Linked DNA regions of Rhinolophus ferrumequinum. The protein of the gene in region 1 interacts with the protein of each later gene in a pairwise test. Links are inferred from orthologs where the notes say so. Each region holds a gene or a part of one and is shown in the gene's direction. Other genes may lie near its edges.

Region 1 (7,533 bases):
CTGAGTGTATGTCTTCAGGGTGGGAGCCCATGGTCTGGGTTATAGAGTCTTTAGAAGCAGTGTTGGTGCAGGTGGTGTAAGGTAGAGAGAAGGGTGAATACAGAGCAAGACTGAGAGCAAAGCAGGAAGAGGGTGGAGCTGTTCCTCGGGCAGCAGGCAGACAGAGGGCCAAGGTGTGGGCCTGCCTCCAGTCTGAAGATGGGACAGTAGAGCAAAAATTCAGGGAAAGAGAAGCTAAAATAATTACCAGGAAAAGGAGCTGGAAGGGAGGCAAGTGTTTTCCTAGTCCTTAAGGAACTTCAGTCTTCAGAGAATTTGGAAAGGGGAAAATATCTATTTTTAAGGCCCTTCTCCAAGGCAAGGTGGCTGGTGATTCACTAGCTGCTGAGGAAGGTCCTGGAAGGTCCCTCCCCTCTGCTACTGCCTCTGCCTAGTGAGCAAACCCAGTTCATCTGGGGTGAGTGGAAAAGGCCCTGGGTGAGGAGCCCGGAGGCCCAGATTTCAGTGTTGTCTTTGTCCCATCGAAGCTAAGCAATCAAAGGCAAGCCTCTTGTAGCCCCAGGCCTTGGTTTCCCGTGAAATAAAGGAATATAAACTCTCTGAGTCTTGCTTTTCTCACCTGCAGGTTGGGGCTAATAATAATAATATCGTGTTTCATTGAATCTACAATGTCATCAGTTGTATTATGCACCATTATTTTTTGTACATTAAGAAGGAAAGAACACTGTCCATTCAACTACAACATACCATTGATTATAAGACATATTCTGACTTCAGAGATTTTAAAATATGCATCTCAGAATCAGTGACTATCTTACTTATCTTACAAGCTTGTTCTAAGAATTAAAGGAGATAATGTAAATAAAGTATTTCGTGCCCAGCACAAAGCAAGTACTCGATAAAGGTCAGATATTTTTATGGTTCAGGGTGGAGCTGGGAAGGAACCACATACCAAGGGGATGGAGAAGAGTGAGAGCTGGGGTCTGAAGCCCACCCCCACCCTCCTGAAAGGGTGTCACCCCAGGGACTCTGTATCTAGCCCCAGCCTAGGGCACAGGGAGAGCAGCCATGCAGCCCATTTTAGGGGAGCCACAAAAGAACAAAGTTCCCATCTGTGCCCCGGAAGTCAGCCTAATCTCCAGGATGAATATGTTTTCATTTCTCAGAAGTTCCTGTTAGAGTGCACCAAAGCCTTTTTCCCTTTACAAGCCAGGCAAACAAAGCAGGTTTACTTTGGGTGACCTTCTCACTACCACCACCGGGGCTGGCCTGCTGAGTGTAAACACCCACCCTTGCTCCCTCCTGGAGGCTCCAGGTGGGAGCCTAGAAAATGGGAGTGCCAGTCCTCCTGAGGAGGCAGGTCCTGACCCCATCCCCCACTCCCTGCAGGCCGTATCCTGGTAAGGGAACATCTGGAAGGTACTTGGAGAGAACAGGATCCTAGGGGTCATTAAAACCTCTCCCATTTTATAGATGGGAAAACTGAGACCCAGAGAAGAGCAGAGACTATCCAGGGGTGTCAAAGTGTGACAGTCCCCAGCCAAGCCCCCCATTCTCTCTCTCTCTCACATACACACACACCCACCCACCCACACACACACACACACACACACACTCACACATGCACGCATGCACGAACATGCATGCACACATACTCTCTCATACGCCATCCCTTCTTACAGCTCCGCCTGGCAGGAGCCTCTCTCTCTACCTGCCCTTCAGTGTCTGGGACAGGCAGGAAGCTTATCTCCATCCTTTCTCTCCTGTGCTTCACTGCCTGGGTTGGGATGTCTATGCATTTTGCTTCACAGCTGGAGCAGCTGCTGGAGAGCAACCACCAGATGTTCTCGAGCCCATAACAGGAGGGGCCTCGGTCTATGCTTTTCTTGACCTGGAGTGTTTGGGGGTGTTTACAGAACCAGTCTTGGCCTCCTTCCCCAACCCTTCAGAGGCAGAGAAGGGGCCTGAGAGGGGCTGGCTTGTGGACCATGCCCAGGACTTGAGGGAGAAAGCAGACCCTCCCTGTTGAGTCAGAACCGTGATTTCAGACCTAATTTCAGCTGTCTAATTGCCTGTCCTGAAAAACCTTTAAGAGACTATACAGAAGGGATGTGCTGCTACAGAAGGCTTCAGGCAGGCCTTTGAACTGATGCACTTCTTTTCAGTACTTAAATAGAACAAAGCCTTGAGCCTCAATATAACCATAAGTAGGGGGTTTATGCAGGACATTGGGGGTTTACATTCATCATCTTCCTCCCGTGCCCCTCCCAGGCTTTCTTTCTTTCTCTTCTACTTGCTGTTCCCTCTGCCTGGAATGCTTTTCTTTCCATTTTACCCCACAATGGTTCCAGTTCATAATTCAGCTCTCAGCTCACAGGTCCATCTTCAGGGAGGCCTTCCTTATCCACATAGCCATCTCTCACCATTCTATTTCCTTCATCGTCTTTATCACTATCTGAAATCATCTTCTTCATTTTATCCCCCAGGCTCTCCTCATTCACCCTAAACATAACTTCTTAATCATCACTGTGTCTCCAGTGTTCATAGGTGCTCAATAACACTTGTAGAATATGTGAATAAATCCTCTGCCATTCTCATCTTTGCAGGACTTTGCCATCGCAGAGAAACATGCTCCTACTATGTCCCAGGTTCTGCAGTGCCCATTTCTTTTTCCTTCCTCTTCCCACCCCTTCACCCTCAGGACTTTTCTTGGAAGATCCTGTGTCTCAGACTGCACAGGAGGTACTGGAACCAGAATGTCTCCCCAGGATTATTTTCAACAGTTTCCTGGGGTGTTCACCTGGGTAAGAATCAGGAAAGAGAGGACACGCTAATCCTATTTATCTAAAACTGTATAATCTTCTCCAATCACTTAAATGGTGCCTGTGTCCCTAATTACAGAGCAAGCTGGGAGGAACATGGGCACAATTTCTAGCCAACCTCAGGCAGACGGGCACTTTTGTTCCTCCTGGGGGCCTGCAGGGACTCCAGCTCAGGAGCCAGGACTCCAGACACCTGCTAGCACAAGCTCACCCACCACAGACTGGCTTGTTCACTCAGCCAAGACCACTCCCCCACCCTGAAAAGGATCATTCTCATTCCCAGTGTTTGAATGTTCCCCGGTTGACCAGATGTGACACTTTTGGGAGAAGCATCTATGGTCTCAGTATCCTAATTCTACCTGCCACTGTTTTGAGAGTGAATTGATTTCTTTTGGGTCCAGCCTAACTTTTCAGAGTTGTATTGCTGGTGCACTGGTCCCCAGAGCATGGACTCTATTGCCAGCTTCTCAGGAGCAAACCCTCCAGGAGGCATGGAAGCTAACAGTTATGTGACAGCCTGGAGGGTCAGAACTTCATTCTCCAGAACTATGTCAACCGTGTCATGAGATGGCAGAAAAGCGGGCAGAAAAGCCTGCCTGCCCACCCGCCCCAGGCAAGCAAACAGCTGCTCCCTTAGCCTCAATGTGTCCCCTTTTCCCACCCTGGCACTGCGAGAGCCATTTCAGTGACATCCCTAGCTTAACTGCAATGACATCTCTGCTTCTTAAAGGCCTTTTGGTTCCTGAGCTAATTAAAAGCCCCAGGCAGCAAGGACACACTTAATCCTGTTAATGACTTCTGACCAGGAAACAGTGTGCCCAGCCCTCTGAGGGAGTGTCTTTCTGAACCACCTCCATTTGTTCAGGTGCCTGGTGATTGTTTATCAGCCCTTTTAAGAGATTAAGACGTACTATGGAACGGGCCACTTAGGTAATGGATCCTGGGGGTCTGGGAGTGTCCCATGACCACAGAGCATGCAACCAACCAGCATCTTGGCTCAGGCAAACTCCATGGCCACTGTTCGCCAACTTCTTGCTCTTCAGAACGATTAGGGGGACTTGATGATTGATGAGGAGAGGGGTCCTAGCCTCATCTTTGCTGCTCACTTGGCCCTTTCACACACAGGAAAGGTGGATACAGTCCTTGCCCTGAGTCCAGTTAGGGTCATAGACAATTGAGCAAACAAAGACAGTAAATTCACCCCAAATGATATAAGCACACAATGTCCTGTGAGTATACAGTGGTGGTAACTGCTTCAACCTTGGGATCAAAGAAGGCTTCCTGGTGGAGGAGACGTGTGAAAATCTCCCCATTGAGGAGATTTTTTGGAGGGGCCTGTGAGATAGAATTCCATGGCTTTGGATTTGGTTCAGGTTCTAGCATAAGGCAGGAAAAAATGGAAATAACTCAGTTCCCTCGTGAAGTTACAGGAGAGTGGTTGGCAAAGCCTTACCAAAATGCGGAGGTTCCAGGAACAGTTATTCGCTCCGGGACGGTTTTGCTTTAACCCCCTATACTGAGCGGTCAGTAAAGAGATTGGCAAAGACTAGCTTGTCTCTTTAAAAGAGGCCTCTTTAAAAGAGGAGGGACGATTTCTCAGGCCACTCCCTCTTCTCATTAATATGAGATTATCGTGAATATTGATGTGGGGGCGTGGCGCCTCGGCCAGCTGGGCTAACCAGCCCGGGGTTCCCGGTTTCACAGAGGAAAGTGACAGAAGCCGAGCAGAGGGGACGCTGAGAGAGCGGAGCGCCTGGTAGCCACCCAGTCTCGGGGGAGCTCTCAGCTCCCCCGTCCCTGGCTCCCACCCTGTCCCGGGGGCTCCTCAAGCCCTCAGCCCCACTCCCGGGCTCCCCATGGAAGCCAGCTGTGCCCCCGGAAGAGCAGGAGGAGGAGGAATCGGCTACATGCCCGCGGTGCGCCCGGGGCCCCTGAGCCCAGCCCGCTCCGCGCCGCTGCCCTAAGGCCCTCACGCCCCCGGCGCCCCCTACCCGGGGTTGTGCCGCCTCCGCCCGCCCCTCCCTCGGGGCTTCGCCCCGGACCTGCCCCCGCCCGCTTGCCAGAGCTCAAGCAGGAGCTCTGGGCCAGGCGCGCCGCCGCCCTGGAGTAAGGGAAGCCCAGCCGAAGAGGGTCTCCGGAGCCGGCCGCGATGGACGCGGTCTTGGAGCCCTTCCCCGCCGACAGGCTGTTCCCCGGATCCAGCTTCCTGGACTTGGGGGATCTGAACGAGTCGGATTTCCTCAACAATGCGGTAAGATGAAGGGTCTGCGTCCCCCTTTCACCCCTCGGCACCGGTCTTCGCAGCTTGCCTGGGCCCCCCTGAAGGACGGAGCTATACATCACTGGGCAGAAGCGGAGGAGGGGGTTCGGTGCAGGGTCCCCCGAAGGGACACGTGCTTAGAGCTCTGAGATTTGATGACTAAGATCCCTCGACACCTCCCTAGTCCCAGAGCCTGGACCGGAGCCTCTGTGCTTGCGCCAGCGCGCGCCCCCCCGGGGGGGGGGGGGTCCGTCCGTGGATGCATTGGCCTCCGCCTTCTCGGGGAAGGGGACCTCGAGGCGTCGGGGGCCATCCGATCCTCTGATATGAGCTCAAGAGACACCAATCCTGCCCCCTCCCGGGGTTCCAAGACCAGATTCGGCGCAAAGTGGGCCCGCAGCTGGTTCTCCGCTGGGAGGCGCACAGCGGAGTGTTCAGAGGGCCAGACACCCGACGCCCCATGTGGGGGCCAGAGCCAGACTCAGGTTCTGAGGCAGACCTGGAAACTTAGGGGTGCTGGCGAGGCTGCCCCAAAGTCAGGAGCAAGACCTCCCCAGGCAGGGACCTGACGCCCAGCTGGTCAGAGCAGCACTGGGCAATCCCTCAGGAGGAGAGAGGTCTTTCTCCCCATCTATGTGTCTCTAGGTCTGTTTCTCTGTCGCTCATGTCTCCTTGACTTTCTCTGTCTCTCCGTGACTATCTCTGTCTCTGGGCTTGTCTTTCTTCTCTTTCTCTCTTCCCCTCCCTCCCTAAGGAAACGTGGCTTCTCTCTCTTCTTCCCTCCCTCCCTCCCTCTCTCAGCCTCAGCCTGAAGGCCCTGCTGGGGGAGGGGCATGGGCTCAGTAACTGGGGAAAAATATTTGGGTTCAGAAAAGCCTTCCCAGTTGAAAGGTGGGCAGCTTAGGGAATCTGGTGGGATCCACCCATGCAGTGAACCAGCAGTCTCACATGTACACACATGCTCACACATGCACATCCACAGATCATCTCAGGGGTCTCTACCTGCTGGCCTCTACTTACTGGCCTAAGATAAACTTGGCCAGACAAGAGTTAAGTGCATAGACACTTAAATTGGGCATCTTGGACTTCCACCTAATTGTTCCCCCTGCTAGACTGGTTGATGGTGGAGAAAGCAGCCAAGGGGCAGGAACCTCAGTCTGGGAGGCATGGGTGTGAGGTCTCCCTGTCCTTCATTAGGCTGGGTCACCCTGCTCTCTGAAGAAGGCTCCTGTTCCCAGTCAGAGAGAGCACTCTTCGGCAGACAGGCCAAGTGGAGGAGGAGAGACGGCTTAAACTGGTTGTGGGGAGAGCTGAGTTCTAGTCCTGCTTCTGCTTCTGCCTCCCTTTGTGAGCCTGGGGCACGCCACCCAGCTCTCCTCCCTGGGCCTCAGTTTCTTTGTCTATAAAATGGGCAAAGATTGGATCAAGTCTTTCTAAGAATGATCTGGCACAGATCCTAGGAATAAAGTAGCAGGGATCTGGGGTTCCACACAACCTTCTTGGAGTTGATAATAGATACTCATCAGAGGGAGGAGGTTATTGGAGCTTGTACCCTTGCAGCCAAGGAGGGTAGTAAAGCCTCGCTGTGAGGTTTCCTCAGCCCTCAGCAGCTCTGAGTTGGCCTTTCTTCTGAATGAACTCTGCAGCCTACAGCCTCTTCCTGCTGCTCCATTCAGTCTCGAGTCCCCAGCTGCTCATCTGGGCGGTGGTCCAGCACAGGAAAGGAGGCATGATCAGACAGTGGTATCCAGCACCCGGACTGGGAGGGAAAGCCCTGCTGGGGAAGCTCTTAACCTGGGGCCTAGGCCTGCTCCGGTGAGGCAGGCTAGAGGAAAGGATTCCTAAGAGGAGAGCGAATGAACTCCTGGGCTGGGAATCAGGAAATCTGGTTCTAGCTGCGCTTCTGCCACCAGCCAGCTGGGCAGTTCAGATAAGTGACTTTTCTTCCTCTGGGTCTCGGTTTCCTCATCTGAAAAATGGAGCTATAGAACTTTTCCCACAGTGTTATGGTAGAGATTTAGTGACAAAATTAATGAAAGATTAATGTAGGACAATGCCTGGCAGGTAAGTGTCCATAGTTAACTCGCTCCAGACACTAGATAGGGTGGCGGTAAGGACTACTCAGGTAGGAGTTGCTGTGTGACTTTGAGCCAATCACTTTCCTTCTCTGGTGCCTCCATTTATATGTCTAAGGTCCCTTCCAGCTGGGACCCGATGCCAACTCCACCTTCAACTCCCTCTTCATTCTGTATGAGGATAGTAAAACGTTTCCAGGGTTAAAGATGGGAAGGGATGGAGTCTGTGTGCTTCTCAGTATGGAAGATGGAGAGCAGGGTATTCACTATCCTTAAAAATCCAGATAAAGGCAATAAAGTCGTGTGGAAAGTATGTGCTCTATGGCTCTATGCAAAAAGCAAGCATCAAAATGTATGCTCACCCTGAATACTACTA
Region 2 (7,701 bases), about 73 Mb from region 1:
TTAAGAAGAAATAGAAATCTTAAGTGTCATAGCCATTAATTAATTGAATAGGCAATTTAAAATCCTCCCACAAGAAAATACTGAACCCAGATGATTTTACAGGTTCTGCCAAACATTCAATGAACAAATTAACCTAATCTTTTGCAAACTGTTCCAGAGAACAGCAAGAAAGAAAATACCTTGTTCTGTGAGGCCAGTACTACCATGATACCAAAACCAGGCAAAATGAATACAATAAAATAAAACTCGCAGTCCAATCTCACTTATCCACATGGATGCAAAAATCCTAAACAAAATATCAGCAAACTAAATCCATGAGCTTATTAAAAAGGTAATACATTGGCTGTATCCCAGAAGTGCAAGGATGATTTAACATTAGATAATCCATACATATAATTTACTCATTGATAGATTAAAAGAGGAAAACCATAGATATAGAATACTCATTCATAATATAAAACAGAAACATCTCAGAGGAGGACTTAAATCAGTAATTTCATTTTTTTGGCTGAATAATAATATTCCATTGTATGAGGTGCGATAAAAAATACGGTGAATGTTTAAATTAAAAAAAAGTTTATTAATAAAAGACACATTGCCATTAGTCCCCTTCAAAATAACCCCCCTCACTTCGAACACACTTATCCCATCTTTCTTGCCACTTTCTGAAGCAGTTCTGGAAGTTCTCTCGTGAGTGTTTTTAGTTCCGCTGTTGTGGCTGCCTCGATATCCGAATCGATTCAAAACGCTTACCTTTCATAGTCATTTTGACTTCTGGGAAGAGGCAGAAGTCTCATGGTGCCAGATCAGGTGAGTAAGGTGGATGAGGACACCTTACCAGAAGCCATACCAGAAGCAATGTGCGACGGCGAGCCTTTCCATTATGATCACAAAATATAGTGATTGCTGCCACCAAGTGCTATCCAAAGGAAAGGCCAGGATCTTCAATACTGGAAGTGGTGTGTTGAACCTTACTAACAGTGTGTGACAAGTTTCAACTTGTTCGGTAAAGTCAGGTGGGTGTGAGCTACGGTTGAGAGAAGGTGTGTTTTAAAGTGTGCCGTAAATCATCCTCCATCATGATAACACTCTGTGTCACACATCGCTTCTGATATACGGCAATTTCTGTCAAATAAAAACATTATGGTGTGTCCTCATCCACCTTATTCACCGTATCTGGCATTGTGTGACTTCTGGCTCTTCCCCAAAATGACTCAGGACATCGAGGCAGCCACAAGAGTGCAACTAAAGACACTCACCAAAGAGGACTTACAGAACTGCTTCAGAAAGTGGCAAGAATGATGGGATAAGTATGTTCGAAGTGAGGGGGAGTATTTTGAGAAGTATTAATGGCAATGTGTCTTTTACTGTAATAATTTTTTTTATTTAAACACTCACCATATTTGATCACATCTCATATACTGGGGGTGCCAAAAAAACACATACACATGACTTGTATTCATCTTTTGTTATCAGTATATATTAAGTATTACAATTTTAATACAGTTTTTTCCTTTCTTAAAATGTGTATACATTTTTTCGGTATATATAATAATAAAGACAATGTGATATATGTGTATACTTGTATACACACATATATAATATATGACATTTTCTTTATTCATTCTCATCACACATACACAAAAGGAAATTATGTGTGGTGATGGAGGTATTAACTAACCTTATTGTGGTGATCATTGCAGCATACATGCATGTATCAAATTACATTGTATACCTTAAACTTACACAATGTTATATGTCATATCTCATGAAGCTGGAAAAAAATAAAAAACACAGAATAAAATAAAATCAATAGACAATATATGAGAGAGAGAGAGAGTCCATGATCACTGCTTTTATTCTACATTTCACTGGAAGAACTAGCAGTGACTAAGAATAAGGTAAATAGAAATAAGCAGTGTAAGAACTGGAAAAGAAGAAACAATACTGTATCGTTTACAAATGTTATGTCTACAGGGAACATACAAAGGAATCTAAAGGTAAAATATTAGAAATAATAAGAGAATTTAACAAGATTATTGGATTTAATATCAAATTTACAAATCAGTTGCTTTTCTCTATACCAGCAAGAAATTGAAAACATACACAAGACGTAGCATTTAAAATAGCAATTAAAATTATGAGGGACCCAGGAATAAATAATAGAAGATATGCAAGACCTATATGAAAGCACTTATAAAACTTTATTAAAGGACATTGAAAAGGACCTAAACAAGTGAAAAGACAGATAGGAGACTCAAGGTCAGAAAAAAATATCAGTTTTTCCCAATTGTTCTATAGATAGATTCATTGATTCATTGTAATTCCAATGAAAATCCCAACAGCTTTAGATGAATTTGACAAGCTGATTCTAAAGTGTATACATAAGAGCAAAAGATCAAGAATAATGAAGGCATTCCTGAAGGAAGAGGTAGAAGGAGAAACAGGAGAGGGAAGCTTCTCTACCACATGGAAAGACTACTATAAAGCTGTAGTAACAGAAACGCTGTGATTTTGATGCAAGTATAAATTGACCAGGAGATCCAAAGAGAAGCCCAGAAACAGACCCACACCAGATATATGACACAGGTGGCATTGCACATCATGAGGAAGGGGGGAGGAGAAGGGTCCACAAGTGGTGCTAGGATAACTGGTTATCAGTATGGAGAAAAGTAAAAATTAGATACCCACCTCACACCTTACACAAACATCGATTCTGGATGGAATAAAGATTTAAGTGTAAAAGACAAAACTACAATTTTTAGAAGAAAATTCTTTCTGACTGCGTGACACAAAAATAATTGCATTTAATTACATTAGAATTAAGAAATTCTTCTGTTCATTGAAAGACAATTTTAAAAAGTGAAAAGATAAGTTACTAATTGGGATGAGATATTTGCAATACTTCATGACAAAGATTTAGTATTCAGAATAAGAAATAAATAATGACAACCTATTTGAAAAATGAGCAAAAGACAGGAAAGGAACATCACTAGTGAAGAAACAGGAATAAACAGAAAGAAGTCAAACTCCATTACTAAAATCAAAGTAAGACCACATTTTATACCTCTAGATTGGCAGAAATTAAGCAGTCTGACAATATCAGGTATCGCTAAGTATGTAGAGTGATAAGAACATTCATATGCAGCTGGTGGGTTATTTAAATGGGGATGACCACTTTGGAAAACAATTCGAAATTATTTTGTAAAGTGGACAATTTTCATACTATGTAATCCAACGACTTCACTCTGAGGCCTATCTCTAGAACATAATTTTTCAAACTGCCACGTGTGACCTGTTAATGGATCTAGCCTTTTTTTTAAAAAAGGACACAGTAGGATAGAAAATATCAGAAGGCATCATTTATTTTAAGATAAAGTATTGTTTTTGTGATATTGTTGTTTCTGGTATACATACATATAAATTTGTACTGGGTTTCAATGTAAAAAGTGTTTCTTAATGAAAGTGGTGGTCAAAAGATTTGAAAAAACATTGCCTTTGGAACTCTTACATATGTGCTTTGGGCAACATGCACAAAAATGTTCACAGCTGTATTATTTACAATAGCACAAAATTGAAAAAAGTCATATCCACTGATAGGAGAAGGGACCAATGCATGATAATTTCCTGGCATAGTAGAATATTACACAGCATTGAAAATGAATAAATTATGGTTACAGGTAATAATATGAATGAATCTTAGAAACATAATATTGAACAAAAAAAGCCAGTCCTAGAAGACTGTAAAAGACATGGTATCATAATTGTAAAGCTCAAAAAATCTCCACTAAACAGTATCTTATTTAGATATGTTTTAGAAAAGTGCAGGATGCACATTCATACAATGGAATCTTACTCAGCCATAAAAAGAAATGAAGTACTACATGCTACAACATGGATGAAGCTTGAAAACATAATGCTAAGTGAAAGAAATCAGATGCGATAGGCCACTTATTTTATTGATGTATTTTTTATATGAAATGTCCAGAATAGGCAAATCAATAGAGACAGAAAGTAAGTTAGTGGTTGTCAGAAGTTGTGGGAAAGGGAGAATGGGAGTGACTGATACTGGCTACAGGGTTTCTTTTTGGGATGATGAAAATGTTCTGGAATTGATAGTTGCACAATTTTGTGAATATACTAAAAGCCATTGAATTGTACACTTTCAAATGGTGAATTTCATGATGTGTGATTATTTCCTAATTTAAAACCTTTTTTGAAGAGGAGTAAGGCAACGATTAAAAATATATATGTTCAGGGCCGACCTGGCGACTCGGGCAGTTGGAGCTCCGTGCTCCTAACTCTGGTTCGATTCCCACATGGGCCAGTGGGCTCTCAACCACAAGGTTGCCGGTTGGACTCCTCAAGTCCCTCAAGGGATGGTGGGCTGCGCCCCCTGCAACTGGCAGCTGCGACTGGACCTGGAGCTGAGCTGCGCCCTCCACAACTAAGACTGAAAGGACAACAACTTGAAGCTGAACAGCACCCTCCACACCTAACATTGAAAGGATAACAACTTGACTTGGAAAAAAGTCCTAGAAGTACACACTGTTCCCCAATAAAGCCCTGTTCCCCTTCCCCAATAAAATCTTTTTTAAAAGTGTATATATATATATATATATATATACATATATATATATATATATATATATATATATATATATTCAGGAAACTATTTACCTCTGGGAGTGAAGCAGGGTGGATGGATCGGAGGAAGATAGGTAAGTACAGCTGTATTTGTAAAGTTCTGGTTCTTAAGTTACTTGCGTATGGGTGTTTATCTTATTACTATGCATTATTATATGTGTGTTATATATATTTTCACACATATAAAATATAACGTAAAATTTAAAAACTACAACTATTAAAGGAGTTAGCATTAAAAGCAAAGTAGTGTTTGGGGTAGCCGGATGGCTCAGTTGGTTAGAGCGCGAGCTCTGAACAACAGGGTTGCTGGTTTGATTCCCGCCTGGGCCAGTGAGCTCCACCCTCCACAACTAGATTGAAGGCTATGAACTGTTGCTGAGCTTCCGGAGGGGCGGCCAGATGGCTCAGTTGGTTAGAGCGTGAGCTTTCAACAATAAGGTTGCCGGTTCAAATGGTGGGCTGTGCCCCCTGCAACTAAAGATTGAAAAAAAACGGCAACTGGATATGGAGCTGAGCAGCACCCTCCACAACTAGATTGAAGGATGACGACTTGGAGCTGATGGGCCCTGGAGAAACACACTGTTCCCAATATTCCCCAATTAAAAAATAAAATAAAATAAAAGCCAAGTAGTGCCTTTTGAATAACACTTGTTGGATCACCTGACTCCCAGGACTGTGCCTTAGCATAACTGGATGCAGCTGTTCTGACCTCTAGTGGCTGAGAGGAGAAGGGCAGCTGGGGGCTGCGGGCTGCCTCAGGAGAAAGGGACAGGGCGAGATCCCTCAGCACAGTTATGGTCCTGGCCGCTAGACGGATGTCCAGACGTTAGGCTGCTGCCAGTCTCACCCACTCAGAAAAGAGCAAACAGCCTCTGGCTTTCCTAGTTCGCGTTTCTTCCCCCTTTTTCTCTCTGGCTCTTTACCATACTCCTTTAAGTCCATGAATGAGGTGTATATAACTCCACTGAAATCTACCCGTGGGAGGGACCAAGTGGCCCTGCCTTCTGCCTTCATGCAAATGATCCATCCTCGGGTGACCGACCCCAGAGACCAGGGGTTTGATAAGCTCACAAGCAGAAGTCTCAGGCATCTTCTGGGGAAGGAGAGGCTGGAGCACTGACACTCAGAGAACTGGTCTCCATGCTCCCTTTGTTCAATGAAACTGCCTTTCTAGAAGATTATGAACTAAAGCCTATGGGAAAATTTGGCTTGGACACATTAGAGGTGAGAATGTGAGAGGTAACTTAGGGAGAGCTGTCAGCGTTTCAGGGTTTACCACACAGAGCCCAGGAAACAGCAGGTCTCCCACCCCTCCTGGCTGGCTGGACTAGAGGGGCATTGGTTTCCCTGACCCATTAAACCTGATAGAAGAAAGAACTTCCAACAGTGGGTCTTGGCTGTGGGGAACCAGGCCAGGAAGTCTCAGACATCTTAATGAACTAGAGATGGTCGCAGAAGGGTGGCCTGAAGAGGAGGTCACAGATGAGACCATCTCCAAAGCCATTGGGGCTTTTTGGCTTTGGCACCAGTGAGGCAGGTGGCTGAGGACTTACTGAACTGGGTTAGGATCTAGGCTCTGTTGCTCACTATCGTGAGTGTCATTTAACCTCTTTAAGCTCAGGTTCTTCACCTGTAAGAGGGGTTAGTCACAGTGCCTCCTCATTGTATTGGGTCAATTGTAGTAATTGAATTAATGCAAGCAGAGCATTCCGTAAGAGTCCGATAAATGTCAGCTACTTCTGCTTTGTTGTTCGAACTCTCACTGTGTGGAGAGCGCTCAGCATAGAGATGGGAACCCGACTGGGCTCTGCCTGGTCAGGCTGAGGGTCAGAGTGGGGATTCTCCTATCCAGAGACTTGTTTGTCCTCCCTCTGTCCCCAGACGCCATGGAGGTAGTGCTGATCTTTCTATGCAGCCTGTTGGCCCCTGCTGTCCTGGCCAGTGGTAAGTACGCCATAGGACCTGGCTCTGACAAGATGGCAGCTGTGGCCCTTCTGGTGGAAGGTCCTGGCCCACTGGGACTCTAGGGTTGGGGGGCTTTCAGATTCTACATGTCTGATCAGGGCCCCGCCCACCCCCCTGCTTTCTTTAGTCAGCAGAGGAAGTCCTGGAAGGTGACGGCTATTCACAGACCCTCATTCAGCCTGCCCACCTCTCCCCACGGACTCCAGCAGGGTCTACTTTTAAGCTTCAAATCCAACAGCCCCCTGTAGACTTTTGGCTGGAACTTTGGGAGCCAGACCTTGCACGTCAGTCTCTAGACTGACATTGTGCAAGTCACATGTCCTGCCTCAGTCTCAATTTCCCCATCTGCAACAAGAGGAAAATAGACCCTTCCTTTTGGGGACGACATGAATAAAAATGGCCCATAAATGTGGCTGTGCTGTGAATGCAGATTCTCACTAGGGCTCTGAGCTGGACCTGCCCTGAGCTCGCAGGCAGGGCCACCCTTCCATACTTCTGTAGGCACCTCTGTTCAATCGGCCCTGCTTCCCAGGAATCCCTTTGTGGGGAGGGAGGCCTGTGAGGCAAGTTGAGATATTTGGGAGCCAGGATGTATAGCTGTCCTCCTCTTGACCAGGCTTGTTTATTTTTGTAGCACCTGAGAAGGAGAAAGAAAAGGATCCTTTTCATTATGGTGAGTAGTGTGGCAGTCCTGGGTGGGGAGGGACAGGTACTCTCTCCCTGGCCCTTCCTCTTTTCCCATTTCTCACCCTATTCCTTTGGCAGACTACCAGACCCTGAGGATCGGGGGATTGGTGTTTGCTGTGGTCCTCTTCTCTGTCGGGATCCTCCTTATCCTGAGTAAGTTTTTTTGTTCATTTGTTCAGAAGAGCAATGTCTGCACTACAGAGCAGGTAGAGAACAGTGTAAGACGAGCCTGGCCATTCCCTTTCCTGGAGGAGGAAGGAGCCTGTCTCCTCCCTGTTATCTCCAGGACCTAACATACTGCTGAGCAAATAATAGGTGCTCAGTAAAACAGTGAAGAATGAACAAAATAAATGCTCAATGAAAATAAGCACTGATAAGAAGAAGGGGCGCACATGGCCCTTC
Region 3 (7,746 bases), on another chromosome or scaffold:
TAAAAAAACAAGTGTTCGTGAGGATATAGAGAAAAGGGAACCCTTGTGCATGGTTGGTAAAAATATAAAGTGGCTGCTGTGGAAAATAGTATGACGATTCCTCAAAAAATTAAACAGAATTACCTTGGGTTCTACCAATAGCAATTCTGGATATATACCCCAAAAGAATTGAAAGCAAGGTCTCAAAGAGATATTTGTACACCCCTATTCATAGCATATCATTTACAAGAGCCAAAGGGTGGAAGCAACCCAAGTGTCCATTGAAGGGTGAATAAATGGATAAACAAAATGTGGTATCTATGGCATATTATTCACCCTTAAAAAGGGAGGAAATTCTGACACATTCTACAACATGAATGAACCCTGAGAACACTGTGCTAAGTGAAAAAACCAGTCACAAAAAGACAGATACTGTACGATTTACTTATATGTGATATCTAGAATAGTCAAATTCGTAGAAGCAGAAACTAGAATGGTGGTTGACAGGGGCTGAGGCGAGGAGGAAAGGTGAGTGATTATTTAATCAGTACAGAGTTTCCATTTTGCAAAATGTAAAGGGTCCTGGGGATAGATGGTGGTGATGGTTGCACAACAATGTAAGTGTACTTAACACCACTGAACTATACGCTTCAACTGGTTGTGCTGGTAAATTTTATGTTAGATGTATGTCACCACAATTAAAAATAAACATTTTTAAATGTGATTTTGAATGCATCCAAATAGAGCTTACACTTTCCATTTCCCCAACAAAACTCAAATGTTTTGCAGCAAGTTTCATGCATTTCTCTTAAAAATCAGTTCCATACATTTCCTTTCCCTGCCTGGCCCCATATGCATTCAAATTTTTGACACTTAGGAAATACACTTAACCTTTTTGACCCTCAGATTTTCTCCGAGGAATAATAACTCCTATCTACCGCATATAATTGTTGGAGGGGTACACGAGCTACGTGTGGGAGCATTTACAAACTGAAACAGTTACCTCCCGCAACAGATCAAAGCGTGTTTCAGTATATGGGTTAGTAACATCTTCACATACACTTACTACCTGAGACAGGGAAAAGGTGACAGAACCAGTGTAAAAAATCTGAAATTAAATGATCCCATGGATTTGTTTTTCTCCTTAAAAATATTAAGTTATTGAGGGTGGGTTGAACTTCAGTAAATAACTTTGAGACATGTCACATTGATGTGGAAAACTTGGTTCTCTGACATCTTTTTTTTTTTTTCCTGAAAGGTGATATGACAGTGTCTTAGTTAGATTTGCCAGCTCAACTCAATCATACAATTTAACAAACATCAACTCAGCAGCAACGAAGGGGGAACCGTGAGGCACGTAGAGCAAGTAGAGGCGGTTCCTGTCATTAGGGAGCTCACCCACAGCCTCAGCACTAAAAATTGTTTCTTTAGGTGCTTGTTCTACTTAGTACCTTCTCCCACGGCAGGTACCATTTTCAACCCCTCTCCTATTTTGTGTACAAGAGTCCCTTGAAAAGGAGCTGGCTTTTCTAAAGGTCTTTCTTCCTCCTTCCCTACCCCTACCTCTTCAACCCGTGTCTGACCCTCTGTCCCTCCATTTCTTCCTTCCTACCTTCCAACCATTACGTACTGAGCATTCGCTATGAGCCAGATGCCATCTAGATATGGAAGATACTATGGCTAGGAAGATAAAATCCTTGACCTTGTATCATTATCACTCTGGATGAGAAAGTTTCCTTTCTAGCCAAAACTCTATGTGCCTTAACTCTAGTACTCTGAAAAAGAAAATGAATAATACCCTTGAAGAAGTTAGATTATATAAATCTATCAATACACTGGGGTGTTGCTTGAGTCTGACCTATGATATAAGCAACAAAAATATTTTTGCTTTATGTATAATACCTTAAATATATTCATAGGGTACCTTTCCTGTGCACAGCTCTAAGCATCTCGAAATTTATGTGATACAGAGAGGAGAAAATCATCTTCATGTGATAGATATGGAAAACAAGGTTTTAAAAAACCCAAGTGACAAATCTCTGTAGGATTGTCAACTTGAGGACACTTGTCGAGCAGGATCCCACAGGAGTCATCTTATTTAATTTTTCGTCAACAACTTGGTTAAGTGGATTTTATAAATGATTCAAAATATGTCTGAGTGTCTGGAACGAGAAGCAAAAAGGGTTTTTAAAACAACCTTGACAGCTTTTCCTGCTGACAACACTGGGGCATGTCAAAGAGGATGAACACTCCCAGAGCGATAGGTCCTTCCTCACCAGGGGAGAGGATCACGGGAAGGTTTAAACAGGGGGAGCCCAGCCAGCTGCTGTCTAAAAAGATGCTATTCATTCAAAGGTGCTAGAAGTTTGAACTCAGGAGAAGGAACAAGAAGAAAAAAGTCTGGGAGATGAAGCCAGGCCTGCACTTCATGACTTTGATTTTATGATGAAACAGTTAAAATGTTGAAGTAGAAATAACCCCTAAAAAAATGGGGTGTCCCAGTTGTCAATTTACAGCCTTTCAGCTCCAAAATCACCTTTCATGGTCGTTTGTGATGCTGGAGCAGGAGCCTGGGGACATTTCTCTTCTGCCAGGTGGCACGCTGCTGAGGTTAGTCACGGAGGATGCTGCATGAGCCTTAGAGGACCAGGTGGCTTCTCGTTCTGGTTCTGGTGTGTTTTCCTCTCTTCCTGTTCCTGCAGCACCTGGGAGGGACATCCTGTGGCTCACCTCAATGAGTTCAGCAGTACGTACAGGTGGTTAGTGGTTATTAGAAAGTTCTGCCGGAGCCCCAGGCATCTTCCTGAGAGTACAGTACCCCCACCAGCAGCTTCCTGGTGAATTGGCCAGTCAGCGTGTAGCTCATAGTGAGTTTTAGCAGCACTCAGTGAACTTCTCTGCGAGCCAGAGGGCTACAGCCAAACCTTCATCAATAAGGCCCGAATCTCAACTTGGGGGAAGAAGGCCCTCTCCCAAATTTGTTCCTTCCTTGGGTAGTCTGTCTCAGTCCTAGGCAGTAGCTACTCCTTGTATAATCTGCTCTTCCTATCATCTTGGGATTCAACCCCTCATAGAAACTCATCCTCTGTTAGTAGTTAATGGTTCTTTACGTTAAACTTTGCGTGTTCAAATCACTGGGTGGTTTTTGTTTTCTGACTGGACCTTGATTAATATGCTGCTATCCAACAGAAATATGCATTTATGTTCACCAAAAGCTATGTACTAGACATTTCATAGTAGGTGGCGCTGTTCATAATAGCTAAACTCTCCATCACCTGGAGAAGAGACAAATAAATCGTGGTATATTCCTACAAGGGAAGCTATACAGTGATGAGAATAAATTAACTATATAAATACATGCAACAACACAGAGGAACTGACAAACATAATGTTGAGTGAAAGAAGCAGAAACAAACAAATAAAATATTCTGATTCCATCTGTGTAAAGTCCCCAAACAGCAAAACTAACCTCTGGTGCTAGAAAGTAAGAAAAGCGGTTATTCCTGGAGGGGATTGGTGATAGAAAGGGGGTGCAGGGGGTTTCTGGGAGCTGGTAGTGCTGTTTCCTGGCTAGGGTACTGGTTCTATATACTGTTTATGCAAATTCATTGAGCAGCGCCTTTTTGATGTTTACATTTTTAAATTAGTCAAGCTGAAAAATATTACATATTTATTGAATTTATGAGGTGTGAAATATTTTCCTCAAACAATGAAGTCAAGCACATTTATTCAACAAAAACTGTATGTACATATTACATACCAGTCACTGTCTATGATGCTAAGGATCTAGAGATGAATTACTTATTCTTGGTTCCTGTCTACAAAGAGGCACAGTCTACTACTGGGGGGGAGTGACATGAAAACAGATCACTACGATGCAACAGGAGTCCTGGAATAGTTTAGGTAGGAATGGAGTGCTGGAGATACAGAGGAGGGAGCCACGAATGGGGCATTAGAAAGCTACACAGAAAGCTTTTGTGAGCAGAAAGGTCCTCTGCTCAGGCATCAGATTGGTGAAGATGTCAACCGAGCCCTTGGAAACTTTAAGACCCAAGCGAGACTGGGGCTGCACATATATGAATATGTAGGATCACAGTTAGATATAGTGATGGTTGAAGTTATGGAGATGAAATCACCAATACAGAGTGTTCAGGGCAATAAAAGGAGGGGACAAATGATGGAACTTTGGACGGGGATTCAGTGGGCAGAGGAGACTGAAAAAGGCAAGTCAGAGAAGCAGAAAGAGAAACAGGAGACTCATGTCTTATAATCAGAGGGACAAGAAAATGTTAGGAGAATGGAGCTTTCATTGTCAAAAGCCACTGCAAGATCAGGTCAGATGAGACTGTGGGTACAGTAAGTTCTCACTGTCATTGATGAGTTCTTGGAAACTGCGACTTTAAGTGAAATGGTGTGTAACGAAACCAATTTTGCCATAGGCGAATTGATACAAGCAAGAATTAAGTTCACAAAAGGATGTTATTGGAAGACCTGCTATATATGGTTTTGACAATTAAGAGGTCAGTAGGACTCTAACTGAGACTATTTTCAAAAATCTCGCTTTGATCAAAGTAAAAAGCAGGGACTGTGAATTTAGACTACTCTTTAAAGATACTTGGTGGTAAAGTGAAGGAGAAGAATAAATCAGTTTGAGCATGATTGTAGGCTAAGGGGAAAGGAGGAGGGGGAAAAAATGGATGACAGGAGCCAATGGGAGGGGTGGAGGAGAAGTGTCCAGGGTCAATTGTTTTATAGGCATCTGCTCCTCAAAACGTGGGCCATCAGCAGCACCTGGGAACTTGTTCGAAATGCAGAATCTCGGGGCAAACCGCAGGTGTAGTGAACCAGAATCCACATTTTAATTAGATCCCATTGTGATCATAGCGTTACTATTCCCATCTTTACCAATGATGAGACTGAGGCTCAAAGAAGTTGCTTGAGATAGCAGAACTGATTGGTAGCTGAGCAGAGATTCAATTCCAGAACTTCCGGAGTCCAATGTACTTTTCAAGCGGGAGAAAAGTTCAGTTCAGAGGAATTTCTACTTTCACTCAATTCGAGAGAATTGTTTGAGATGCTAGAACGCCTCCAACGATCAATCACAGGCCTGTAGCCCTAGTGCCGCCAGCTGCGAGTTTGTTCAGACACTGATGGACGAATCCCTCTCTGAAGCCTTGGCTTCGTCAGAAACAACATTGACAGCGTTAGAACTTCACTTCCCAGCAAGCCCCGCGGCTTCCATCGTGCGACACATGACGGGCACCCTGTCCCTCCTCTCTAGTGGAGCTGCTCAGCCGAAGAGGGACACGTCCCAGCCTGACGTAAGGGCGCGCGGCATCCTGGGATATGTAGTTTGACCCCGACTAGGACGCCCCCTCGGATGAATGGGGCCGAGGCCGACTGCGAACTACAGCTCCTCGGCCGGAGACCACGGCGGCCCCGGAGAAGAGCAGCGCCCTGGGACGGTGGCGATGTTCTTTGCGGTGGCCGAGGCAGCGGTCCTGCTTCCTGGGATAGCGATATAGGCGGCGTTTCCTCTGCACGCTCGCTCCCCGTCCCTTGCACTGGCCATGCGCCCGATCTTTGCGGTGGGCCTGGTTTTCGCAGGTTGCTGCAGTAACGTGATCTTCCTGGAGCTCCTGGCCAGGTGAGTGACTCCCGCAGGCCGCAGCCGTGTTCCCCGCACTGCACGGAGAAAGGCGGAGGACAGGCGTTAACGCGCGCCGCCCCCCGGGCCGAGCCCCGAGCCGCGGAGCGCCGAGGCCGGGAATGCACGGCCTGGGCTGGGTCCGCTCTGGGCGGGCTGCCTGGGACCCTGCTGAGCCCGCTACTTCTTCATCCTGCGCAGCGTTTCCTATCCCGCCCAATGGTTGCACAGCATCCCTCGGAGGGGGACACGGGGTGTTGCTGTCGTCACTCGTTTTTCACACACTGGGGGTATTGATCCGGGAGAATTTCTCACGTGATGGGTCCTAGGCCGGCAGGGATCTCTTGACAGAAGCCAAGGTTCCTCCAGCTCTTTTCTCTGTCCCATTCATAACGTCACAAAGCTTTTTGATTTATAAGTCAGTCTGATTTTGTACACGCGGCAAAGAAAGTTTCATGTGTATTCAAGCGGCCCGCAAAGCGTTTATTACTCTTAGATGGTTACGAGTACTTTGGCCAAACATGACTCCTAGTGATGTAATAGAACGGATTATTTATGCGAAAGGTCGATCTCATTGACCAGAGAGAGCATTGCCAGCTTTAAGATACTAGTCTTTAAACTGAAAAGCGTGTATTTTAAGGTGTGACTTTATAAATTAATAATTGGGGCGATGGAAGTAGGGCAAAACGGGTCAACGGGGTGAAGAATGGAAGCTAGACTTCAGGTGGTGAGCACGATATATTATGCACAGATGTTAAATTCTAATGTTGCACACCCGAAACTTATATAATGCTATAAACCAATAAACCAGTGTTATCTCAAAAAAAAAAAAAAAAAAAAAAAGGAAGGAGGAAGAATGGCTAGGAAAGTTTACCAAAGGGAGACCAGGTTAATTTCATTGAGATGGCAACCAAATAATGTTGAGTAATAAAGTGCAAAGTTCAGTGGGTAGAAACTGTTGCGGGAAAGACAACAGGTGGACTAAAAATCTCAAAATTATGAATTTCACTCTTGGCTCTGTCCCACCCCCACTGTGTGACGTTTTAAAGTCATTTAGCCTCTCTGGCCTCCTTTTTACTGCTGTAAAATCTATCTTTCTATGGTGCTGTCTATTGCCAAGGTTCTGAATCTACATTTTGTCTCCATGACCATCTTATGGACAAGATAGATCAAGAGTTATAATCTCTGTTTTGCTGAAAATGAAAGAGGTCCCAAGAAGTTAGATGATCTTTTACTACTTGCAAGTGGCAGAGACAGACATGTAAACTCCTAGTCCAATACCTTTTTCAGCCTCCCTGTTAATTTTGAACTTGAGTGGCCTCTAGGTTTTGGTCACCCCATTCCTCGTGGTGCCTACTAGAAATGTATTTTATTTTCATGATACCCTTCATTAAGTTGTTCTGAAGCAACCAGTTTATTTAGGGTAAACTCTGTGTGGGGTTAATTTTTGCAGTTACAGAGCTTGGAATTTTTTTTATGCGGAAAGTATTAATAAAGATCTGTCATTTGTTATTCTTGAGAGTAGGTGGTGAGGGGTATGAAAAGGAGAAAAGAAGTGTATCCTGCTGGTACATTTCAAAGGAAGGTTACTTTGACAATTGATTTTAAAAGATAAAAAAAAGGGATAAAAACAGGCCAGCCATGGAAGTGAAGGTCAGAGAGTAATAGTGTAATATTTGTGTTGAATATGCCATTACGTTCAATCTTGCCAGAGGTATATGACGTCAGTTACGCTAGCAACTGAAGGGACTCTTGAATAGTTATGAGCTCTTGGCTAAATTTCTTGATCTTCCCTAGTCTGTTTTCTTAACGGTGAAAGGGGAGGGCGATGGCTTTGCCAGCATTACATGATTTTGAAGGAATAAATGAGATTCATGTGCAAAGCCTGAAGCACACTCTAGTCGGCTTCCTCTCCTCTCTAACCATTTTGTTTCAATACAGGTATACGTGTTTTATGAATTTGTTCCTGGGAAGTGGTAGATATATCTAACTTTACAGAATGTTTTCCTGCATTGTGGGAACATCTATTTAGAACACTTTGAGTATTTTGTAAATAAATCATCACTCATTTATCTTTTTTGTAAATGTGGAGTTTTGCTCACAGCAATGGGTCTTAATAA
Region 4 (7,276 bases), on another chromosome or scaffold:
AGGTGGAAATAAACTGCCTGTCCAACTAGAGGAGATTAGTTAAATGAATTATGACAAATCTATACAGTGCTGTGGTCATAAAAGGTACGGAGGCGAGTTTCAGGTTAAGACATGAATGGAGCACACTGCCTCCAGAAGTCCTTTAATCCACAGTAAAGGGGTATTTTAAAGACATAAATCCACCAGGACAGGGAGAACAGGAAAGGGGGACCCAGCAACAGAACCTCTGGAAGCTGGAAAGCAGGTAGACCGGTATTACCTGCCTGGCAGACCCCAGACAGCCAGATCCCTCCCAGCATTGGGGAAAGCTGGGGACCAACCCTCATTCATACAACAGAATCCTCAAAAGCTTAGCAAGTGGCACATTAGCTGCTTCTAGATCTAAGGGTGCAAGAGAGCTGAAATAAAGAGAACTAGTTCAAGGTGCCTTTGAGGACCAGTTAGATCCTTAGACCTCCTCCCTTTCTCTAGCTTCTGGGTGATGCCCTTTCCCGGGTTTAGCTTTGGAAAGGGCTGAACAGACTAGGGACAGCGGTGAATGTGGGTATGCTGCCAAACATGCGGACACTGAATGCTGAATGCAGAGACTTCCTCCAGGGCTCTCCCCTACTGAGCTCCCAGAAAACTCGAGCCTGGCCCCTAGTCTTCAGGTAAGCGGCTAGAGGACCTTGTGGAATCTGACTAGTCCAAGAGGAAAATCCTAAAGATGTTGACAGTCCAGGAAGTTCCCAAATGGCCCATCAAGTTCAACTTACAGTGAAGCTACACCAACAATACCACCCACAGACTTATTTTCTTCCTTTCTTCTAATCATGACCAGCCAGCCAAAGATTCTCCAATAGCCTCCTACAAGCAGAAACAAATACACAAACAAACAAAACCGCATAGGATTCAGAGACTATAGAAAACTAACTCTGATAGTTGAAAAGAGAAGACACTGCAATCCATGAAAAAGGAACAGGAAGTTATATCCGTACGTATATACCATATATATATATATATATATATATATATATATATATATATATATATATGAAAAATAACCCCTGGAAATGAAAAAATAGGATAGCAGAATTGAAAAACCCAATAGAAGGCTAGGTAGAGAAAGTTGTGGAAACCTCACAGAAGGTAAAGCAAAAAGGCAAAACATGAGGAGGAGGAGAGAAAAGGAACATGAGAAGGAGAGAAAAGGAAATTAGAAAACCAGCCCAGGAGGTCCAGGATTCTGAGTAATAGGGTTTCCAGAAAGAGAAGTGAGAACATGGAGGAAAGGAAATCATAAAAAAAAATTTTAATTTTTGGAAAATGAAGGATATGAGTTTCCTGCATGGAAGGGCTCCTGCGTGCTGGCACGATGGATGAAATTAGACCCCCTTGAAGGAATATCAGTGTGAAATTTCAGGACTCTGGGGACAGACATCTTAAAATCTTCCAGGAAGAACAAAATAGGTTACATACAAAAAAGCTCAAAACACAGAATAGCTTCAGCCTGCTCATCAGCACGGTGGCAGCTGGAAGACCATGTCTTCGTGACGCCGAGGGACAAATGTCTGCAACTTTGAATTCCCACTCAGCCAAGCATCAATCAACCATGGGGGAGAATGTAAGATTTCAAAATGATACGTCCTGTGCAATCTTTCTCAAGAACTCCTGGAGGATGGGCTCACCACAAACACGGGAGGACCAAGAAAGGCGTAGAGGTGTCATCCAGGAAATGATTTAGCCAGCAGAAGCGTAAAGGGCATCCCCTGGGTAGTGTTGAAGAGGGAGCCAGGATGATGTGTGCACAGGCGTACAAGTAGCCAGCCCAGCTGGGAGCAGTGGATGTACCAGGGATGTACTGCGGGCTGTCATCCCCAAGATGCCGGCTGTCACTGTGCTGCCTGTGTAAGAACCGAATCCCTGGTGAGCCCGTCCAGATTCTTGTCCACACTTGGCCGGTCTTGATCGCAGGCTGAGGAGGTCCTGTTCTCCCCTCCATTGCCTGCTGCTGAGGACACTGGTTCCACCTCACAGAAGTGTCCCCCCACTCCTGAGATCTGAACACAGATGCAAGATGGTCTGAGCTCAGAAGCAAGAAGACAGAACAACTCACGCCTCGGACCATTTCCTGCCCAATGCCCCTGAAACAGCCCTGCCAGACATGTCTCCCCCTCAACCCTGCCCTCCTCCGACTGCCCCAGCAAGAGCTCTCCTTGTCAATGCTCAGCGAGGCTGAGGTCAGTGTGTACCCCGGAGGCTCAGTTCAGTTTTACCTGGTCTGGCCTTCAAGCCCACTCTCTCCAGCCAGTGCGCTGCCCTTTCACCTCTCTGAGCATGTGAAGTGGTGTCAATCTGGGGAGTGGGAGGGTGTTTTCCCTGTCTCCCCGCTGATGGACTGAGGCTAGGGGCTGGGTTTGCTTGAGTTGTATTCTCCAGGATTCAGACCAGAGCTGGGCCCCCACGTACGCAATATATATATGTTCCTCGAGGTTGGTACATGCCAAATGCCCGAGAGGCTCCCATACTTAGTGCCGTGGAGTTCAGAGGTCACTGTCCACTTACAGTGGGGGAGACACAGAGTTGGGGTTATGGAAGAGCTTCCTGGGATGACACTGGAGAGCAGTAAGACTTTGACACATGGAGATGCCCAGGATGGGAGTGAAGGGTGCTCTAGGAAGGGGGAACAGTGTGTGAAAAGGCACAGAGGTGGAGAAAGGGTGGGGTAGTCGGCTTGACCCCAGCTTGGCAGGGCCTCAAGTGCCAGGTACAAGGCTTGGACTGGATCCTAAGGCAGTGGAAGCAATGGACGGTCCTGAGCAGAGCAAAGGCATGGAAGGGACAAGTGGGGAGCTGGGGGCCAGCAGAAGGTCAATCACTGCTGCCCAGGCTCAGGTGGGGGAGATGGTTGGAGAGGAGGGAGGCGGAAGTCATGGGAGGTGTGCAGGTAGAGAGGGATGGGCACCCTCATCTGCACCCAGACCTGTGGGTTGAGTCCCTAGGGTACCAACTCCCCCTCTGAGCAGCAGGGTCTCCGGCAGCGTCTTGCCTGTGAATGGTGTGAACTTCAGGAGGGCAGAGCCTTGTGTGTTTGTATTCAGCCCCTCCCTTTGGCCCTGGCATATAGCAAGTATTTGGGGACAGCAATTTCTGCCTCCCAGGGTGCCCCCGGGGCCTGGAGTCCTGTGCAGTAGGGATGAGGCCGGATGGAAGCTGAGTTGCTTCTTTCCCACGTGTCTTCCGGGGGAGTCAAGTGTACCACTCAGCCAAAGCCACCGGCACCTCCCTACAGGAAGAAGATGAGGGCTGGCAGCTCTGGGGAGGCGTGGCCAGACTGCTTGCATTAGGAACAGAGGCGCAGTACCTGGGGCCACCATATTTTGAGGGACCTGGGAAAATGTTTTAATTTCTTTTAAAATCAGAAGAAAAAGATGGCTAGAAACCAGCCTGGATTATACTTGTCCTTATACCAATGCGGTTAAATGTAGACGGGGCCCATGGAGGCAAAAATGCCAGGGCCTAGGGACAGGGGACAGCCCTGGAGGCTCCAGACCACTGTGCCTGGGGAAAAGTAGTTGCAGTTCACGTTGGCCCCCAGAGGACAGTTTGGGCGATTATGGCTCCTGTAGGTTAAGGGTCCTGCCAGATCAAGTCCTCCGAAGACGGCCGGGACAGGCCCTGGGCTGCAGTAATAAAGCAGCAAATAGATAAGGAGGGGGAGGAGCTTATGGCCTGCGGCTGGACACGCGGGTCCCATGAGGCACCTCTGGCTGTGATCATTGCAGCCTCCACTCACTGAGCGCCATGCTCTGCCTGTATTACCGTGGAGCATCCTAATTAGTCCCACGATGATGTGCCCATTTTATAGATGAGGAGATGGAGACGGAAGAACCAGCCACAGAGTGGCAGAACCAGGGCAAAGAGTGCAGTGCTGCCTCGGTGCCGTGGGGCAACAGCTAAAGGAACTAGGGTGCTCTTCTGGAGATGGGGGCGGGGCAGGCTGTTGTGTCTGATGATGTTCAGGGCTTTGCCATCATGTAATTCCTCTCTCTGAGCGCGCTCTCTGTTGACCCATTTTACAGATGGGAAAAGTGAAGCTCGAGAAGCAACCTGCCTGCGGACACAGCTGGAACGCGGCGCGGGTCTGCCCTGAGCGCGAAGGTCACGGTGGGGATTAGTGGCGGAGGGAGAGAGGGGCTCGCGCGGGGAAGGCAGAAGCGTGTCTCGCTGGAGGCGTGAAGGAGCGAAGTGAACTCCCAGTCCCGCGGGCAAGCGCGGCCCGGGCTTCCAGCCAAGCGGGCGGGGCCGTGGCCTGGGCGGCGGCCGGGCGGGGCTTTGCTGCCGGGGCGGGGCGGGGTGGGCCTGGGACTTCGGCTGCCACCTCCCGCCGCGCAGAGCCCTTCCCGGAGTGAGTCCTCTTTGCTGGTGAGTGGGGACGGGGCACCAAGGAGGCAGCGAACAAGGGCCTCCGCCCGGGTAGAACCGCCAACAGTGCCTGCCCGCTGGCGCAGGGCCCGAGGGGAAACTGAGGCCGGAGGTGGCAGGCCGGAGCCGCGGGGCGGGGACCCGAAGGGCGGCCGCGAGGCTGCACTAGGCTGCCGGGTCAGCCGAAGGGGGCGGCGGGCGGCCCGGGTCCAGACCTCCCAGGTCCGGGTCCCTGCGCGGCCGGATTCCCGCCGCAGGGAGAGACCGCAGGCGGAGGCGGAGGCGGGGGTGGGGGGTAGGGGTGGGAGTGGGAGGGCGGGGACTTGGGCAGCCCCGCTCCGCCCCGCCCCACCTCCGCCCTGTCCCTCCTGGCTCCGCTGCTGGGCCCGGCGGGAAGCCGCGCCGCCCGGGCGGGGGTGGGGCCGACACCCCCCTCTCCTGCCCATTCCTGCTTAGAGGCGAGCCGAGGCAGGGGAGGGCGGGAGTGGCCGAGCTGGGATCCTAAAATGCCCGGGAGACCTCGGTCTCCTGATCCACTTGAAACACCTCATTTCTAGGGGAGGAAACTCAGGCCAGATTGGGGAGGTTATTTGCCCAAAGTCAGGTCCGGCCCTCACGGGCTTTAGAGCCGCGTCCCTGCTTCCCGGGCCAGTCAGTGCTCAGGTGAGCTGTAGCCTGGACAGGAGCCTGGTGTGGGACCTGTCTGTCCCCTGCCTCTCCTGCAAAGGATCCGAGATCCCAGGTGGAAGGGGCTTCCAGTGTACACACTGCTGAGTGCTGGGGTCAGCCTGGCAGATGCCCGGGGCCTGTTATTGGCTGGGAGCCTCTCTGGCTGGCCTGCCAAGGTATGGTGGTACCTGGTACCAGCTGCTCTAGGATGACAGCAGGAGGAGCAGAACTTGAGCTCAGAGATAAGGGACTGAGGCTGTTCGTTGGGTCTTGGGTAAGGAGAGGATGTCGGAGAAGGCAGTGTGCAGGAAGCACCTGCCCTGGGCTCCTGGCACGCTGGGCGAAGGGCCGGGTGTCTCTGTGGGGTGGAGTGTGGCCCCCGCAGGGCAGCAGGAGGCAGGCCGCAGCTCCCTGGGGGCAACGGCACTTGTCACTGGCCATGAAAGGCACTGAGGAGGGTGGAGGGTAGCAGGCCTCTTCCTCAGTCCCCCGAAGGCTCCCAGAGGAAACCTCATAGGTAGTCCGGGGCCCCCAGGGGAGCCCTTTGAACTGGGGGAAACGGCCTCATCCAGGAACCATTGTCCAGGGTTTGAATGAGTGGGGTCTGATCCCAAAGCCTCACAGTGGGCGGCTGCGGGGGCAGGGCCTGGGCTGACAGGGAGGGAGCCACTTTTTACTATGTACATTTTTGCTTTTTCATTATTTTATTTTTGAATCTAAATTTCTTTTATTTGCCTTTTATTTTACTTACTTTTGATTGTGCAAGCAATGCCTGGATGTGCTCTCCCTTTAAAAAGGTCATGCTTGATAAAGCAGATTCCGCCTTGTCACCCCAGCCCCACCCCAGCCCGACCTCCCGGGTGACCCACTGGATGTGGATCCTTCCAGACCTGTTGTCTGTTACATTGGACACTTGCATAGTAAAGAAGTTTCACAAAGGTTATGATGAAGAATTGCTGTGAGTCGGTAAAGAAAACAAACAGGCTTCCAGAGATAAGGCCTGAAGGACTGGGTACAGCTGGGACGGGAGGGAGCAGAGAAGGGCAAAACCCTTTGTGCTGTTTCTGGGCAGCAATTTTGTCACCTTCTATATGGAGGGTCACCCGTAGGGAGGCCTCAGAGAACTGAAGGATCCCCCAGAGACCCATGGCTCAGCCCCACTTGAACAGATGGGGACACAGAGGCAGGGAGGTGAGGCCCTAAGGCCAGGAGTGAAGCAGCATCACTAGGTTGGGAGGTCCTACCCCCCTGCCCCCTCTTCCTTTCCCCCCCCCCCACAGGGAGGGCTCAGATCCTTTAACTGCACTGCTGCCCTGTAGGGGCTGGAACATTGGTCCTGGGGCTTGAAAGAGTGAGGCTGTGGGCCCTGAGAGAACCTTCTGGCACTGGACAGAGGGTGGAAAGGCCAGGGCGGGGTGGGAGCAGCCTGTGGCCCAAGCCCGCCCTCCGCCCTGCAAACTTCTGGGGCAGGCTCTAAGTGCCATGTTGGGATGAGAAGTTGGCTGAGAGAGGGGAGGTGACACAGCCCTGGTGAGTGGCTATGTGGCCCAGATCTGAGGCCGGCAGACCCCCTCCTCAGAGGGCAGGGGTGGTCTTGTGGGCTTCAGAGCTACACAGACCTGGAAAGTTCTGTGACTCCCAGTGCTTCAGTTTCCTCATCTGGACAGTGGGAATAGTACCAAGTCTACTGGGGCGGCCAAGAGGCCACGCGACTCAGCGCCCGGAGAGAGAAGCAGCTGATCCCCTCCCCTGCGGCCGCTGTGAAGAATAAGTGAAGTAAGGACCATTAGGCTGCCAAGCCTGGCCTGCAGCAGGCCCTGCACTCAGCACCCCCTGGCTCATTCCCTGGATCCCTAGAACCTTCTCCTGACCCCAGGCCCTGAGCCCTCTACTTTGCTCTGTGAGTGGCCCCCGGTCTTGAGGGCAGGGCCTTCTGCGAACATCTTCACCCATTCAGTGCCCGGTTGACCTTTGACATTTCCTCAGCTTGGGATCTGTGCCACTGGGCCGCTTCTTTCCCTGGAGGAAATGGGGTGAGTGGCCCCCACAACTCACACCCAGAGCCTCTTGCTCATCTGGTCCTCACTGGAGCCTCCTCATGGCCCCATGAAGCAGGCAGGGCAGGTTATAACCACCTGATGGGGAAACTGAGGCCCCAAGAGGAGCGTTGGCCTGGGGTCACCAAGCAAATTGGAGGCAAGCC

Evidence for each region.
Region 2: the proteins of CREB3L1 (region 1) and FXYD6 interact in binary tests that used the Homo sapiens proteins (3 or more experiments, as listed by UniProt). The two-hybrid records come from large-scale screens. The link is inferred for Rhinolophus ferrumequinum from reciprocal best matches to the Homo sapiens genes CREB3L1 and FXYD6.
Region 3: the proteins of CREB3L1 (region 1) and SLC35B4 interact in binary tests that used the Homo sapiens proteins (3 or more experiments, as listed by UniProt). The two-hybrid records come from large-scale screens. The link is inferred for Rhinolophus ferrumequinum from reciprocal best matches to the Homo sapiens genes CREB3L1 and SLC35B4.
Region 4: the proteins of CREB3L1 (region 1) and TSPO interact in binary tests that used the Homo sapiens proteins (3 or more experiments, as listed by UniProt). The two-hybrid records come from large-scale screens. The link is inferred for Rhinolophus ferrumequinum from reciprocal best matches to the Homo sapiens genes CREB3L1 and TSPO.

Annotation. Positions count from the first base shown.
Region 1 is NC_046294.1:14,648,413-14,655,945, reverse strand, and holds the start of CREB3L1 (cyclic AMP-responsive element-binding protein 3-like protein 1), read left to right. Parts: upstream 1-4,521; 5' UTR 4,522-4,971; coding exon 4,972-5,073; intron 5,074-7,533.
Region 2 is NC_046294.1:87,201,300-87,209,000, reverse strand, and holds the start of FXYD6 (FXYD domain-containing ion transport regulator 6), read left to right. Parts: upstream 1-4,701; 5' UTR 4,702-4,702; coding exon 4,703-4,721; intron 4,722-6,528; coding exon 6,529-6,591; intron 6,592-7,246; coding exon 7,247-7,285; intron 7,286-7,377; coding exon 7,378-7,452; intron 7,453-7,701. UniProt on the Homo sapiens protein: Associates with and regulates the activity of the sodium/potassium-transporting ATPase (NKA) which catalyzes the hydrolysis of ATP coupled with the exchange of Na(+) and K(+) ions across the plasma membrane.
Region 3 is NC_046309.1:13,181,755-13,189,500, forward strand, and holds the start of SLC35B4 (UDP-xylose and UDP-N-acetylglucosamine transporter), read left to right. Parts: upstream 1-4,729; 5' UTR 4,730-5,549; coding exon 5,550-5,626; intron 5,627-7,746. UniProt on the Homo sapiens protein: Antiporter that transports nucleotide sugars across the endoplasmic reticulum (ER) membrane in exchange for another nucleotide sugar.
Region 4 is NC_046293.1:5,301,393-5,308,668, reverse strand, and holds the start of TSPO (translocator protein), read left to right. Parts: upstream 1-4,274; 5' UTR 4,275-4,404; intron 4,405-7,276. UniProt on the Homo sapiens protein: Can bind protoporphyrin IX and may play a role in the transport of porphyrins and heme. Promotes the transport of cholesterol across mitochondrial membranes and may play a role in lipid metabolism, but its precise physiological role is controversial.